Caenorhabditis elegans: one gene and its partner. The protein of the gene in region 1 interacts with the protein of each later gene in a pairwise test. Each region holds a gene or a part of one and is shown on either strand. Other genes may lie near its edges. The genes, in order: csq-1 and hmp-1.

Region 1 (6,544 bases):
GCCAATGTGAACCTACAAAAAGTGTTCTCTCTGAAAAGTGACAACTTTAAAGTGAAAACAATTATCCCTTGAACTCCTAGATCCTCGATTTTTGACATGTCATATTCCAATTGTAATATTATGTTGTTACTTGTGGGGTTGCTTGAATAGTCACTTCAACCATACCTAGGCATAAAAATAAGGCCAGTTTTCAATTTTCAAGAAATGAACAACTTTTTGGAGTACACAGCAATTTCACAAGGACCACTATATTTTATCAATTTACGATTCGAATTTTTATATTTTATTTTTCAATTTCCAAATCCAGATTCTCAACGATACCACATAAAACGTTTGCTTTACCAGATTCTTCCTTGCCACGTCAATTCACTAATTCCACAAACGAAATGCAAATCCCATAATACTACCCCGATCGCTGATTTACTGATCAATCCTTGAAAAATCAAGTTTTTGTGTGGTGTGTTGGCTTGAGTGATCGCAGACGCAAATAAATTCGGATAAATGTGCCCCCCTACCAAGCGGGTAGAGGGTGATATGTTTGCCGATTTATTGAGCAAGATGAGGAGTAGGGCGAATGGCAGTATTAGTTAGCGGTACCGATTGATTTCATTTCGCAAATTTCTACGTCGAAGATGAAAAATTATTTCGAGCAGTGACGTCAGTCGGTTGGTTATGATGAAGACTGCCGTTTGGTTTTTGAAAGCCGAATGCTATAGATATTCTTTGCCAGATGTGTGGGCAGATGAGGAACACTTTTTTTTTGCGAAAAGTTGATTTAAAAACAAATGTTTCGGTGCAAAAAAATGTTGGCACCGAAATATGAGCTGTTACTTGGAAATCATGTTACCTTTGTTCTGTTCTGTTAATTCCCTCTAATTTGAAGATATCCTTCAGTATAACAATTTTTCCGTGTTCGAATTATAATTGAAACATATTTTTAAAACAATTTTATTCCGAAATTTAGAGACACTTCGAAACTAAATATTTAATCCAGAACTCAGTTAATTAATTTACAGTAGCTGAACCCCGAAAAGTTGTAACTCAAACACTTATGTTTCTTTACTATTGTTACACTATTTTCGATCCTCAATAACATTTTAAAGTGGTAATTCCTAAGCCTAAATATGAGAATAAAGTGTTTTTGGTGGTAAACTTTTGATGGATTCTATGTAACGCCCTAAACGGATTTACTGTGGTTCGACGCGAGTCTCAGTGAATGTCGGCTGCGCGATTTTATTAAGTGTATTTAAATTTTCAAAGTAGACAGTGTGAGGAATGATATCATGTTTCATGTGTTTTTCTCCTATGCAAACATCTACTTGAATGCTTGTACGGTTATTTTCAAGTTGCCAGCTATGAAAAAAGTTGGAAAGTTGCATGTTCCCCTCACGTTATTGATTTATTAGAGATATGAACTCTTCCAATTGCCCCCACAAACACTGTTGCCTCACCTCCAATCTCGCCCACACTCCTTCAGCTTCTTCATCTTCTTTCACGTAGTTTTTGTTTTCATCTCGACAAATATATAGTGTAAAGTCAATCAGTCACCGGAGGAAAAGGCGCCTCAGGAGCTTCCTGCTGTGCTCGTTTCGCTACCTCGGTATCAAGCTTATTCTCAGCTCCCCCCTTTACAACGAAAGCTGGCGGGGCCCCGCGGATGGCAGTGGAATTGTGTAAGAATAGCGATCAAAGAGAAGAACATCAGTGCCAATGCAGCAGCCGCCAACAGCTAGCGCGGACCTTTTCCACACACTATACCCTTTGACTTTTCTATCCTTGTTTCGTGTCACTTTTTTGTCTTCTTTTTTTGAAAAGATCTCCATGCACATCCTTCCTTCCTTTTATCTCTCGCTTTTTTCTACAGCAAAAAATAAGTTGCGTTGTCTTTAGAATGACTTGGATCAAACTTGCTAGCCTTGCGCTAGTGGTTGTGCTTGCAAGTGCAGGCATCTCCAAAAACGAAGACTTGGAATGCATGTTCTTAGGATATCCAGATCTCGAATACGACGGATTCGACAGAACTGAGGTGAGTTATTTGGATATAGGATTTATAATGTCTATTTTGTCCATTCTGCAAATCTTTTCTGAAAATCTGCAAAACTACCGATTTTGTTTTTTTTTTTACAAATCAAAAATGAATGTACATAGAAATAAATGAGAATTTTGTCAATTTTGTCAATTTTAGTTGGCAAGAGTTGGCGAGAATTGCCAGTGAACTTTCAGGCTTTTTTTCTTTTTCCTTCTTAGGCTTTTTTTCCGTTCAAATTTGCCAATAAAAATATTATTTTAGAGTCAATCAACTTTTTAGAATCCAAAATTACCAAAATACCAAAACTGAACAAGTTTCTAGATTTTTCAACAATTTATCCACTAACTAGAAGGTATAGTTAATAGTTATTTGGTTAGAAGCGATTTTTTTAAAAAATTTTTTTGAAACATTATTCATTAGTATTATCGAAAAAATACGATCGCACACATTTCTCATAATTTACTTTTGATCTACCTGTTGTCTCCGCCCCCAATCTTGTCGCCGTTGTTATTTTGTTGTGGCTGTCTTGTCGAAGGAAGGGGAGGAGCCTCGTCAACAAGGTAGATCAAAAATAAATTATGAGAAAATTGTGCGATCGTATTTTTCGATAATATTTGAGTTTAAAATTATCAATAATTAAATAAAAACAACTTCTAAGCAGACTATAGATTCCTATAGTTAGTTCCTATAGTTCAAAACTAAAAAATTTTGAGAACAATTGTTCTCGACTATCTTGATCATCATTTTTCATTTAATTCTTTAACTTAAATTACTCAATAACAAGACATTAATTTAACTTCACAATGTCAGTAAACAATTGCGTCATTCTAGCAAAACTTGACCTATAACAAAATTTTCGACATCCGGGGTTTTCGAACCAACCTATCATATTACACTGCAACAGATATTCATCTTCACTCAACAAAAAAAAATCAATAATTGCAGGTTCTGACCGAGAAGAACTTCAACAGAACTGTTTTCGCTGAAGACACCAAATCGGTAGTGTTCTTCAACGACGTGGAAGAGGACGACTCAGAGCTTGACCAGTATGAGTGCTTCCTTCAGGTGAAATTCAAAATTTGATAGTTTATTTTTAATTTATGAATTTTAGTTGTCTGCTCAAATTATGACCAAGAGAGGATACAACTTTTACACTGTCAACACCACCAAAGAACATCGCTTGAGGAAGCAGGAAGGTAAACATTTGCTGTTCCACAAAAACTTAAAAAATATTCCATATTTTTGTGTCATGTTTTCAAAAAATTCAATATTTGTATTACATGGTTATAATTATTGAAACGTACGTATTGCTAAAAATTAATTGTTCTATGCCAAAAGTAAAAATAGAAATATGATGTTTTACCTCATATTTTTCCATTTCTTGAAAGTTGGTACATATCTTTTTTGGCAAGATTGTACATTTCTTTTTCGTAAGTTGGTGCATATCTCATTTATATGTACCCACATTGTAATGCTACGAAATTTTGAAATGTCCGTTTAAAGTCATGAATTGATTTTTTAAAGTGGGTCTCGTCACGATCTCATTCATAGTGGCTGCTACAGGTGTCAAATTTTACTTTTTTTGTTAATTTGATTTATAAAATATTTTTATAAAAGTTCAGAATTTGAAATTCACGGAAAATTTAACATTTAGCACGTAGTGTGACGTTTCCGAGAATGGACCATAATCGAATATTATTTTTACCAATTAATCATTTTATGTTGTCGAAGCTTCACAAAACTTGTGGAAACTTAATTTAAATAAAAAAACATTTAAGAATTGGTTAACCTTCTAATTCTTCATTAATTCTTGATTCAAAATTTCAGAAGTTGAAAAGGGAGAGGACACTATTCACGTGTACAAGGATGGTTACAAGATCGAGTACAATGGTGTTCGTGATCCAGAAACTTTTGTTTCATGGCTGATGGATGTACGTTATTTATTAAGTTTTTGCTAATTCCATAAATTATTTTTCAATTTAAGATCCCAGACGATCCAGTGACTATTATCAATGATGAACATGACTTGGAAGAGTTTGAAAATATGGATGACGAATGTGTCAGAATTATTGGATACTTTGAGCCAGGATCAGTTGGTACGGAATGTGAACAAGCTGTCATGCATAAATTTTAAAAGAATTTCAGCTCTCAAGGAGTTCGAGGAAGCCGCTGAAGACTTTATGGGAGAGATCGAATTCTTCGCAGTTGTGACATCTAAAGTAAGTGTTGAGAGCATTTTTTTTCAAAAATGTATTATGAAAAAGTATAATAGATGTTGATTTTTCATTTTTGAATTATTATATGTACCCCAATTTTCACGCTTAAATATCAAATATGGTACTTGAAAAAAAATAACTTAAAATCGATATTCTTTAATAAATGTATTTTTAGTGGGCACGCAAAGTCGGACTAAAGAGAGTCGGAGAGGTCCAAATGCGCAGACCATTTGAGGAAGATCCACTTTTCGCCCCAACTTCCGCTGATACCGAGGAAGAATTCGAAGACTGGGTTGAGAAGAACAAGGAGCCAGTTATGCAAAAACTCACCCTTGACAATTACTTCAACCTTTGGGTATGTAAAGTTTATATCCTTGCTAGAAAAAAATAATCGTGCTCCAGAGAGATCCCGAAGAGGAGGAGAGAATGATCTTGGCATTCGTTGACGAGGAAACCCGTGAGGGAAGAGCCATGAAGAGGCTCCTTGACAAGATCGCCGATGAGAACTCCGAGCACGCTGGAACCCTGGAAATCATTCTTGTCGACCCTGATGAGTTCCCACTTATGGTTGATGTGTGGGAGGATATGTTCGGAATCGATATTGAGGAAGGACCTCAAATCGGACTTATTGATATTTCTGAGGTAGCAGACTCTATTTTATTTGTCAATTAATAGAATGTATATTTCAGAAAGAAGGAATCTGGTTCGATATGTCTCAAGTGAATTTGGATGATCCAAAGAAACACTCCGACTCCAACTTCGAGGCTCTCCAATCATGGATCGATCAGATTCTTTCCGGATCTATTTCTCTTGATGGTGAATAACTTTTTCAACTAAAAATCTATAAAAAATAATTTCAGATGATGATGATGATGAGCCAGAGCCACCAGCACCACCACCAACTCCAAAGGGAAAGAAGTCTAGAAAGGAGCTGTAAAAAAATCACGTTTTTGATCTACCTATTCTTATTTTTCACGTATTGTTATCACACCTTAAACACTTCTTTTCATGACATTTTAATGGTTGCCGCTTGGTAGTTTCTTCTAGTTAGACACAATGTTTTCGTTCAAAATAAACTTTTTTGGAATTTCAATACGGCATTGTTTTATGCTACAAGTGACCCTAATATATAATAAAGAACAAATGAAATAATTAAATGTTTGTTGTAAAAAGCGTTCAACTCTGCAGTGATTTAGGATGTTTTGCCTCGGATGCCAAGGATCTATATATTTTTGGTTTTAGCATCGTATTTAGTAAAATTTTTTATTGTTTTGTAATATGCCCACACATATATATATATATGTATATATATGAATTTCCGGAAATTTTATCTTGTAGGTCACATGTCTAGTTGCTCATTGCAAAACGTTTTTTCCTGTCCAAGCTCATAATTTTCAAAACTCCATCGTCCAAAATTCTCCACTACTTTTTTCAATATTGTTCCACAAAAACCAGTCAGATGATTGACAGTCCTCATTTTCATTGAGTTTTTGTTCTGACCTTAGACATACATACATACACACATTGCACTCAGAAAATAGCAAAAATGCCCGTTTTAAATGCAATGAGAACCAGAAACAGTGAGGGTGAGTGTCAGCAAACTACGTTGCGAAGCAAAGGCAATACGATAATTACCATTGTGTATGTATTGGTATGTCTTTCTTTCAAATTTCCGTTAGATGAAAACAATTATGGGCTACCTTGAGACAAAAAGGCAACACATGGAACTGTGGAGTACTTGGTGAAGTTGAGTTGGAAATTGCAAGACAGTTTGTCACCAATGAAAAATGTGTAACAATTTTATGTGAAAGCCTTCCATTTTTGTTTAATATCATATCTAGCTGACTGGTGAGTATGTACATGTTGGGTAAGTCCACAGTACTTCCTTAATACTTGACAACTGTTGTGCGGCGCAAGGTGTTCATATCAGTGTTTATAACATTAATTTCTGACTATTTTGACAGATGTGCTTAATTTTGAATTTAAATACCAAATAAATACATTAAAATAACGTGTTTCACAAGTTTTTATACTATTTTTTCAATTGCATATATTTAAATAGTGATTTATAAAACATGGCTTTTCATGGACCGTCTCAATTTTCTTGAATTATTTTAAAAATCTGTTACCTGGAATATATATATATATATATTCCTAGTGTATATCAGGGCTGTGCGGCAACCAAGATTTTCGGCAACCTGCAATTACCGAAGTTACCGAACCCTAAAAATTTTGGCAACCGGCAGTTGCCAAAGTTTTTTCAAGGTTTTTTTTCGTTGAAATTATATTTTTGAAGTAT
Region 2 (8,733 bases), on another chromosome or scaffold:
ACCTGGGGTCAAGCTGAATTGAGGAACATCTTGGCCACACTTCGTAAAAATTCTATAAGTATCTTAGTAACTCCAGTGAAAAAGTTCAATAAGCCGGCAACAGTTACTAGATTTCCGTAAATTGTCTATGAAAGTTTAGACAGGAGAAACCTCTTAAAATTGGGACAAAATAGACTCTAAATCAAATTATTATTGAACATATTTTTACAATAGCACAGATCGTGTTGCAGTGATTAATAATGTTGTTGATATCATCTGAGAAAGTTCAGGTTCTCAGAAAAATGCAATCTCAAAAATGTACTTTCCCTGATTTTTCCTAGTTTTTTTTCTTTTTTTTCACTTCAGTTCACCCCCGCGATTCAAAGTTTACAAACAGCTGCTGCCGTGTACAAAACGTGATTCAGACTTCTCTATGACTCAGATTCCACTTTTTTGAAACGAGAAATTGTTTCGGTCGTATTCAAATTTAAATTTCAATACCCAATATAAGAATATGATGATGATGCATCAATTCACTGTCCTTCCATATCCCTCAGAATTATCCCTCGAAATCTCCGAATAAGACGTAGAAGACGTCAAAACAAAAGGGAAACTTTTTGTCCCTTTTCCATCATCTTCTCAATACTCCTTCCATAAAAGTCCTTTATTTCCGGGGCGCACACTCACACGCTGCTGCTGCAGTTGCCCCAACATAGGCCATACGTACCCAATTTTATAATCCATGGGAGTCGGGCAAACAAACTCAATTCGGTCATCTTCTCCATCTGTCGAGTCTCTGCTCATCCCGAAGGGAACCGTCCTGCTTCCGTCCGTCCCAATGTCTGTGTCTCTTCATCTCCATTGACCAGTGTCCTTGCCTCTTCGTCCTCTATTCCCGCCGCTCGTCCGTTCTTATACCCTTCTCTCCGCTCACTCGTCACCCGCTGACTGACCGACCGGCCAACCCGACTGAATCATCATTTCTTTATGTGTCTTCTTTCTCTCTATATTTAACAGTGTCTTCGTACACCGGTTGATGGTGCGGAATCATCGTTTTCACCATATTCACTTCTCACTCGCAAATACCTCAAAAGTTTGCTTTTTGTGACTTTTTGGCTTCGCAACTTTTTTATTTGAAAATTTTTGAGTGTGAAACATATATTCAACATGGCAAATAAAAACTAAGTTTCTTCATTTTCGGTCGAAATTTTAATTTTCGAATTTGTTTTTTTCTTAAATTTTATTTAAAAAATAGTTATTTCCTAAATTGCCGGCATGTGAAACATAATCCCCTATTAATTGTTTTGTTTTTTCGTTGAGTAAACACCCGAAAGGCCTCACAGGCCCCACCACACTTGTTTCTCGCTATTTTGCGAAAGGATTTTTTATTTTTTTCATTGAAAATTTAATTTTTAATTTTTGAAAAGTTAGAGTAAAGATTTTTATTTTATATGAGTCATTTTCTCAAAGAATAAGTAAATTCTGTGTTTGCCAATAAAGTTTAACGGTGACAGTACCCTCTTGGATCTCTTTGAGACCAACCACCCCTTCTTTATCGTGCGCCTTCAAATCTAACAGTAGTTCTAATCGATACTTTAATGTAAGGTTATGTATTTCTTTTTATATTTTTTGATTTCATCTCAATATAAATATTATTTCTCTTCGTTTTATTTGCATTCTAATCTGAATTTTCAATTTTATTAATTTTCAGAATGCCTGCGAATGGCAATTCTCATGCGTATTTCAACATCGACGAAGTGCGCTCGAAAAATGTTTTGAAACAAATTACTCAATTAATCAATGAAGTGACCAACATCACTGAAACGTTTCCGTTAAAACCTGGACAAACTACTGAAGGACTTGTCGCCACTCTTGATGCTGCCGTTGCTAATTTTCTTCAAACGGGAAGCTTTGCAATTTCGAAATGCCCAATTGCAAACAGTGATCCACGCGCAATTGATTTATTGCACGAAGCTCTTGGAGCAGTTCAAGATACTGGGCAAGTGATGATTCAAACTGGAAGAGATTTTGTCAGAGATTCAACTTCAACAAACAAACGAGCTATTGCAACGAATTCTGGTAGAAATTTGTTGACTGTAAGTTTTTAGGTACTCTTTTAACTGAAAAATGTTGTATTCAGGCTGTCGCTAAATTCCTAATTCTTGCCGACTCGATTGATGTAAAAGTGATAGTTGATAAAGTAGATGAAGTTCGAGAAACTGCACACCAAATGATTGAAGCGGATACAAAAATCAAAGTAGATGATTTGTACAATCTTCTCATTTCTCAAATCGAAGAACTTGATATCACTGTTCGACGACGAGCCATTGATTTGGTTAAACCAAATCAGAGAGATGATCTTCTAGCAGCAAGATCAGCACTTCGACAGACTGCACCACTTCTGTATACTTCAACACGAACATTTGTAAGACATCCAGAACATGAAGAAGCTCGAAGAAATCGTGATTACACTGCAGATGAAATGCATTCTGCTTTAAATGCTCTTGAATCTGTTTTAAACGGACAACAACCGAAAGTAACATTTTCTGAATATGGAAGAATAGGCGATCTTATCAATGAAATCGATACTTTTCAAGTGAGTTTAAAAATTTCAAATAATAAGACAAATAATTTATTTTAAGAATCGAATCGAAATTGATCCAGCCCATTATCGTCGAGGAACTGATCGTCCAGATCTTGAAGGACATTGTGAACGAATTGTTAGTGGTTCTGCTTCAATTGCCGATGCTGAAAGCACTCGTGAAAATCGAAAACAAAAAATTGTTGCTGAATGCAATAATTTGCGGCAAGCTCTTCAAGAACTTTTGACCGAATATGAAAAATCTGTAAGTTTTTTCTATTGATCTCTTGACTTGTTGCCTCGTTTAAAATAAAAAGAAATAAAAAACATTCAAAGAAGCGCATCTTTTTCACAAAAGGGCGATGGAGACGGTGAGAACAAACAAACAAACAATCGTGCGTTCTTTCAAGTGTGACGCCTTGTCCCTCAGGGCGAGAACAACTGTTTTTGTTTGTTAACCGAACTCGAACTAAAGCCGTTTTTTAGAAAAAAAAATGACCACCGCGAGTTCAGACATGGAAAATGTTTTTTTTAGAATTTCGGGGAAATTCTTTAAAAAATTTGTAGTAGTAGAAAATATAGAGACTACAAAGTTTTTACAATAAAATTTAAAGCTTATTACGACCTGTTTAACTATGTTTTAAATCTGTAATTTTTCAGACCGGCCGAAGAGATGATAATGATGATATTCCTCTTGGAATCGCAGAAGTACACAAAAGAACAAAAGATCTCCGGCGACACCTTCGTCGTGCAATTGTAGATCATATAAGTGATGCTTTCCTGGATACCCGTACACCGCTTATTTTACTGATAGAAGCTGCTAAAGAAGGCCATGAAGAGAATACAAGATATCGTTCAAAGATGTTCCAAGAGCATGCAAATGAAATTGTTTCAGTTGCTCGTCTTTCTTGTCAACTTTCATCAGATGTTGAAAGTGTTAGTGTCATTCAGCATACGGCTGCTCAACTTGAAAAACTTGCTCCACAAGTTGCTCAAGCTGCCATCTTACTTTGCCATCAACCTACTTCAAAAACTGCTCAAGAGAACATGGAAACCTATAAAAATGCTTGGTTTGACAAAGTGAGATTGTTAACGACTGCTCTTGACAATATCACTACTTTGGACGACTTTTTGGCTGTCAGTGAAGCACATATTGTTGAAGACTGTGAGCGGGGAATCAAAGGTATCACGGTAAGTATTTTAGTTCTCAAAATTTTAAATTTAATGAAAATTAACAAAAATAGTTTTCGCTAAATTCGTCAACTTTTGAGACGTTCAAACTGAATTTTCCAGGCAAACGCTTCAACACCGGATGAAAATGCGGCCAACTGTGAAACTGTCGACTGTGCTGCCGGATCGATACGTGGACGAGCTCTCCGAGTCTGTGACGTTGTCGATGCTGAAATGGACTTCCTTCAGAACTCTGAATACACTGAAACTGTTAAGCAAGCTGTTCGGATTTTGAAAACTCAACGTGTAGATCAATTCGCTGAGCGTGCGAGCGCTTTAGCCAACCGTCAAGAAGCACACGGACTTACATGGGATCCAAAAACAAAGGAAGAAGAAATGAATGAATTTATCAATGCTTGTACATTAGTTCACGATGCAGTTAAAGACATTCGACATGCACTTTTAATGAACCGAAGTATGAATGATGTTGATTCGGATGTAGAGTATGAAGCTGATGGTGTTGGTGCAGCAAATGCAGATGCTAATCGTACGATATCCGAACAAGAAAATCAACAGAATCTGATGAGACGATTGCCAGAAGAAGAGAAAAAGAAAATTCAAGCACAAATTGATATCTTCAAAGTAACACAAACACGATTCGAAAGAGAAGTTGCCAAGTGGGATGAAACAGGAAATGATATTATATCATTGGCCAATAATATGTGTAAGATTATGATGAGTATGACAGAATTCACAAGAGGTTGTGGGCCATTGAAAACGACAATGGATGTTATCCGAGCAGCACAAGAAATCTCACTTAATGGATCAAAACTAAATGCATTGGCACGGCAGATTGGAGAAGAAAGTGCTGATTCGCAGACGAAAAAGGATTTGCTCGCATATTTGTCACAAATCACTCTATATTGTCAGCAACTGAATATTTGTAGTAAGGTGAGTTTTTTTAATTGGTGCCACGAGCTGTAAAAGCGTACCAAATGTTTTTGGTCAATTGTTTGTTTCGGGGGTTTTTTAAATTTGTCAAATTAGTTTTTCAAGAAAATTGTAAAGATTCACAATTAAAAACGCGTCTATAAAAACTAAAACTGAAAAGAATCTCGTATTTTTCAGAATTATCTGAAAAGTTTTTGAAAAAATTGAGAATTAAAAAAAAAAACTTATAGATAGTGTGATATTTCACCAAAAGAGGTTTCAACTGTTTTTAACGATTTCAGTAGAGATATAATTTTACTTCGCGTTTTTTTTGCGAACCAAGCTCTAGACTGAAGCCATGAAAAATGAAAAAAAAATTGTGATTGGCCTCACTTATACTAGAAAATTGTTCATATACTTACTATAAATAAGTTTTGTTTAAATTGCTTTCAAAAAACCATGTGAAATATAACTTTAAACTTTTAATAGAAAGTAATATTTCAGGTGAAAGCTGATGTGACTCAAGTTGGAAATGAGCTTGTCGTATCTGCACTTGACTCTGCAATGTCTCTTATTCAAACGGCTCGAAATCTTTTAACTGCTGTTGTACAGACTGTTAAAGCTGCATACATTGCCAGTACCAAGGTTGGTTCCCTTTCTTTAAACAAAACATTAATTATTATTCCCACTTGATGTCTGATACTATTGCTTTCCAGCATTTATCACACATTTCTTTTTTCGTACAGACGATAACGGCTGCTTACGTAATTCATTTCAAATCAGATGGTATTTCGCCCACTCTTTTGAGTAGACACGTGGTTTAAAGTGCCAATAGACCAGTTGCCTTTTGTACACTGAATTTTGAGATTTTAGAAAGTGTACCCAAAAGTTTTAGAAAATTAAATAAATAAAATTAAAAAAAAAAAAAAACATTCTCAATAGTGTGCACAACGCGAACGTGCTCGAGTCGAATCAGCCGTTGCGCTTAGCGATGCTCACAAAGCTATTAATTATGAAAGTCCGATGGATGAATCTGGTGAGAAAAAATGAGAAAGCATTAAATATCGTGTTGTGTGGTTTTATCGATGTTGTTTTTGAGAAAAAGAGATATTGAGCATGTCGAATTTAATTTTTTGCTTTTTTCTCAAAATTTACGTTGGCTGCTGCGTAATTTAATGGTAAATATTTTTTATAGTTAAAAAAAGCTTATGTCTTGAGTTCAAATCAGTGGTTAAGACTATTAATGTTTGACGATTTTTTTTTAATGGAGTAGGGATTTTGCTTTAAAAAAATCCAGAATAGTTTGATTCTCAGAAATACCCAAAAAAGAGAAAGAATGAAATGTCGAATTTTCGAAAATCAGATTTTTCAATTTTTGGCGATTCCCTATTTGAATTCTCTCAGTTTGGTGCGAATTCAAACATGGAATTTAGCCAAAAATTAAAAGCAAAATCTCAGATTTTTATAGATTTCCTGAATCCTAGAAAATACAAATTAATTTTCATTATATTCCAAAAAAAAGAAAACAATTCCAGTTAAATATGTTAATTCAAATTGGTAAGGACATCCCTTTCTTATTTTCCCTTCACACTTAAAAATCGTTTTCCCAACAAAAAAACATTTAACTTTCTAAAAATGCATTGTATCGGTCTTGATGTGTGGACATCGATCCCCCAATATGTCGGTCTTGTGATCTTATACTCCCCCGTAAAAAACTCATACATTTTAAACTAGATTGTATTGCAACTTTAACTAAGAAAAGAAGATTAAGTTGAAAAAAAAACTTGAAAGAAATTGATACGAACGTAAAATATGTGTTATTGTTGATGAAAAGTGTCTCGATGTTGTTTGCTGTTGGTTTCATTTTCTTAAATTGCTCGAATGCTTGGAATTCTTTGCTGATAACTTCCTGAAACTCATCCTTATTCTTGCAGTTCCGTCGTCCTAATGCCAACAGTGTACGTGTCGAGTGGCGAATGGCTCCACCAAAGAAACAACCACTAATTCGACCACAAAAGAATAATGCTATAATCAGGTAACGTTTTCATCTATTTTTTTTGAATCAAGGATCCCTCTATAAGTGTTTCCTTTGCCTGCAAAAGGACATATGACACACTTCATTGAGAAGCCATGTGAAAAAAAGTAGTCGGTCCCTGAATAATTCATAAAAAATAGCACTGCCACCAGAAAATGGCACGTAGCTGCCATTGTCAGTAGTCCCAAGTCCCTTTTTTTGTGGTAAAAGTGGTGAAAGCCGAAAGAGCTGCGACACCAAAATGTATATTCTTGACTTGTTGAGCAAAAGTGTATCCCTTGAGGATCATAAATGCAAATTGAGTTTTCGGAAAGCAAAAAAAAAGCGACAATGTTCATAAAAAGTGATGAATAGTTGGATGATTTCGGACATTGAAATGAAAGTTTTAAAGCATCAAAAAACACAATTTTTCTTTTCTTTCAGAAAATTTTCCCCCCCTGAAAAAATTTTTGATAAGATTTCAGACATTTTTTAAACCTATTAAACTAAATTTTACGATTTTGAGATGCACCCCGTAAATCGACACAAGCGCTACAGTAGTCATTACAATAATTACTGTAGTTTTCGCTACGAGATATTTTGCTCGTCAAAAATATGTTGTGCAATACGCATACTCAGAAGTTGGTGTTCCCGTGATAGGTGATCACTAATTCTTGATCATTATCTATTCCATTACAGAAAATTAATTAGAATCCCCCTTTCAAAAGATGTATTCAACGAACGCCGACTAATGTTATAAAGAGTTTGCAGACGGGCATCCGAACGGCGACCTTTGCAACCAGCTAAAGTGCTCGCCGAGTTTACGCGTAACGAGATTGAGACGGGTCGTGATAGTGACGACGAGGAACTTGATCGCCGGCATCAACAAAGAATAAACGGTCGTTTATAGATAATTTATTTCAGTTTTATTCATGTATCTTCATACTTTTCCCTTCCAAATCTTTCCACACATCCTTTATATGCCCGAGTCTTTATTATTTTCTCATTCTTTCAATTCTCTTCAGCTAGAAATTTGTATCTGTGTATTTTTTGTATTCATTTCTGTTTAATGCTCTAAATTCTATCAGCTCATCACCGCCACCATTATCACCGCATTTTTCATTTTTCTCCCCCATGAATATCATAATCCATACTGTTGAAAATCAGGTAACTTTACATCTTTACAATTTATTTTCGCACTATCAACCTCACCCTTTCAACGATTTTTTCTGTATGATTCTGATTTCTAAACTCCCTGATCTATGTGCACAAGTTTTTCAAATTAGATGAACTCAATTCTTTCCTATTTTTATTATGTATATAGACATCAAAAAGGTCTCGTACATCTGGCACCGTCAAAATTGTTGTGCCTGAGCATTACGAGCAGCTGGTACTAAACGGAAGTGTGTGCAACAACTCTCCTTCCACCCTCGCCTCCTTCTTCATTTGTACTACGTTTTGCTTTTCCCCTTATTCTCTTCTCCTGGACTACTAGCAACAGAAAGGGAGGAGGACATAATTGTTTTTTTCTTCAAGAGAGACTTCCCAAATGGATATCCCCTACTATTTTCACACATTCCCATATTGCCACCCATGTTTTCGCTTCAAGACCCAATTTCAATTCCCTAATTTCCTGCGCATTTCCGTGTTTGCACACGCGGCGAGTTACTTTTTAATTTCCTGAAAGCTTACGCCTCCGGGTTTTCCGTTTTTTTTTTTGCTGCTGTTGCTGCAGAAAAATCCTGGAAATCGCGTGCCTAAAGTGTATGGAACGCTGCTTACAGAATTTCCAACGAGATTCTAGAATATTCAACTTATTTTTCTTTCGAGAGACAAAGTGATGGTGGTGACCCAAATACTAATTAGTACTATTTTGTACGCTCATCTTGCTCCAGCGTCCTTATTAGTCTCATTATTTTGGGGCGAAAGTTGGCTGGTTTTTTGTCTCTCGTCATTGTTTTGGATGACCATAGAACATCTTATTTAGAAACTTGTTAGTAGAACTACGTTACAAAGTACAGTAACTCTACAAATCTCCAAAATGTGGCAGCCTCATTTT

What was found.
Region 2: the proteins of csq-1 (region 1) and hmp-1 interact in a two-hybrid assay, tested with the Caenorhabditis elegans proteins (one study listed by BioGRID).

The regions. Positions count from the first base shown.
Region 1 is NC_003284.9:14,682,987-14,689,530, forward strand, and holds csq-1 (Calsequestrin), read left to right. Parts: upstream 1-1,890; 5' UTR 1,891-1,891; coding exon 1,892-2,026; intron 2,027-2,974; coding exon 2,975-3,094; intron 3,095-3,140; coding exon 3,141-3,225; intron 3,226-3,856; coding exon 3,857-3,960; intron 3,961-4,013; coding exon 4,014-4,125; intron 4,126-4,174; coding exon 4,175-4,248; intron 4,249-4,420; coding exon 4,421-4,600; intron 4,601-4,647; coding exon 4,648-4,887; intron 4,888-4,934; coding exon 4,935-5,061; intron 5,062-5,105; coding exon 5,106-5,182; 3' UTR 5,183-5,336; downstream 5,337-6,544. Other genes in the region: slt-1 (Slit homolog 1 protein), read left to right, coding at 1-41.
Region 2 is NC_003283.11:11,844,187-11,852,919, forward strand, and holds hmp-1 (Vinculin), read left to right. Parts: upstream 1-1,690; 5' UTR 1,691-1,691; coding exon 1,692-2,075; intron 2,076-2,119; coding exon 2,120-2,575; intron 2,576-2,621; coding exon 2,622-2,825; intron 2,826-2,897; exon of another isoform or gene 2,898-3,120; intron 3,121-3,220; coding exon 3,221-3,751; intron 3,752-3,853; coding exon 3,854-4,681; intron 4,682-5,164; coding exon 5,165-5,305; coding exon of another isoform or gene 5,306-5,353; exon of another isoform or gene 5,354-5,602; coding exon of another isoform or gene 5,603-5,710; exon of another isoform or gene 5,711-6,594; coding exon 6,595-6,695; intron 6,696-7,436; coding exon 7,437-7,584; 3' UTR 7,585-7,979; downstream 7,980-8,733. UniProt on the Caenorhabditis elegans protein: Required for cell migration during body enclosure and cell shape changes during body elongation. Required for proper localization of other junctional components, such as pac-1.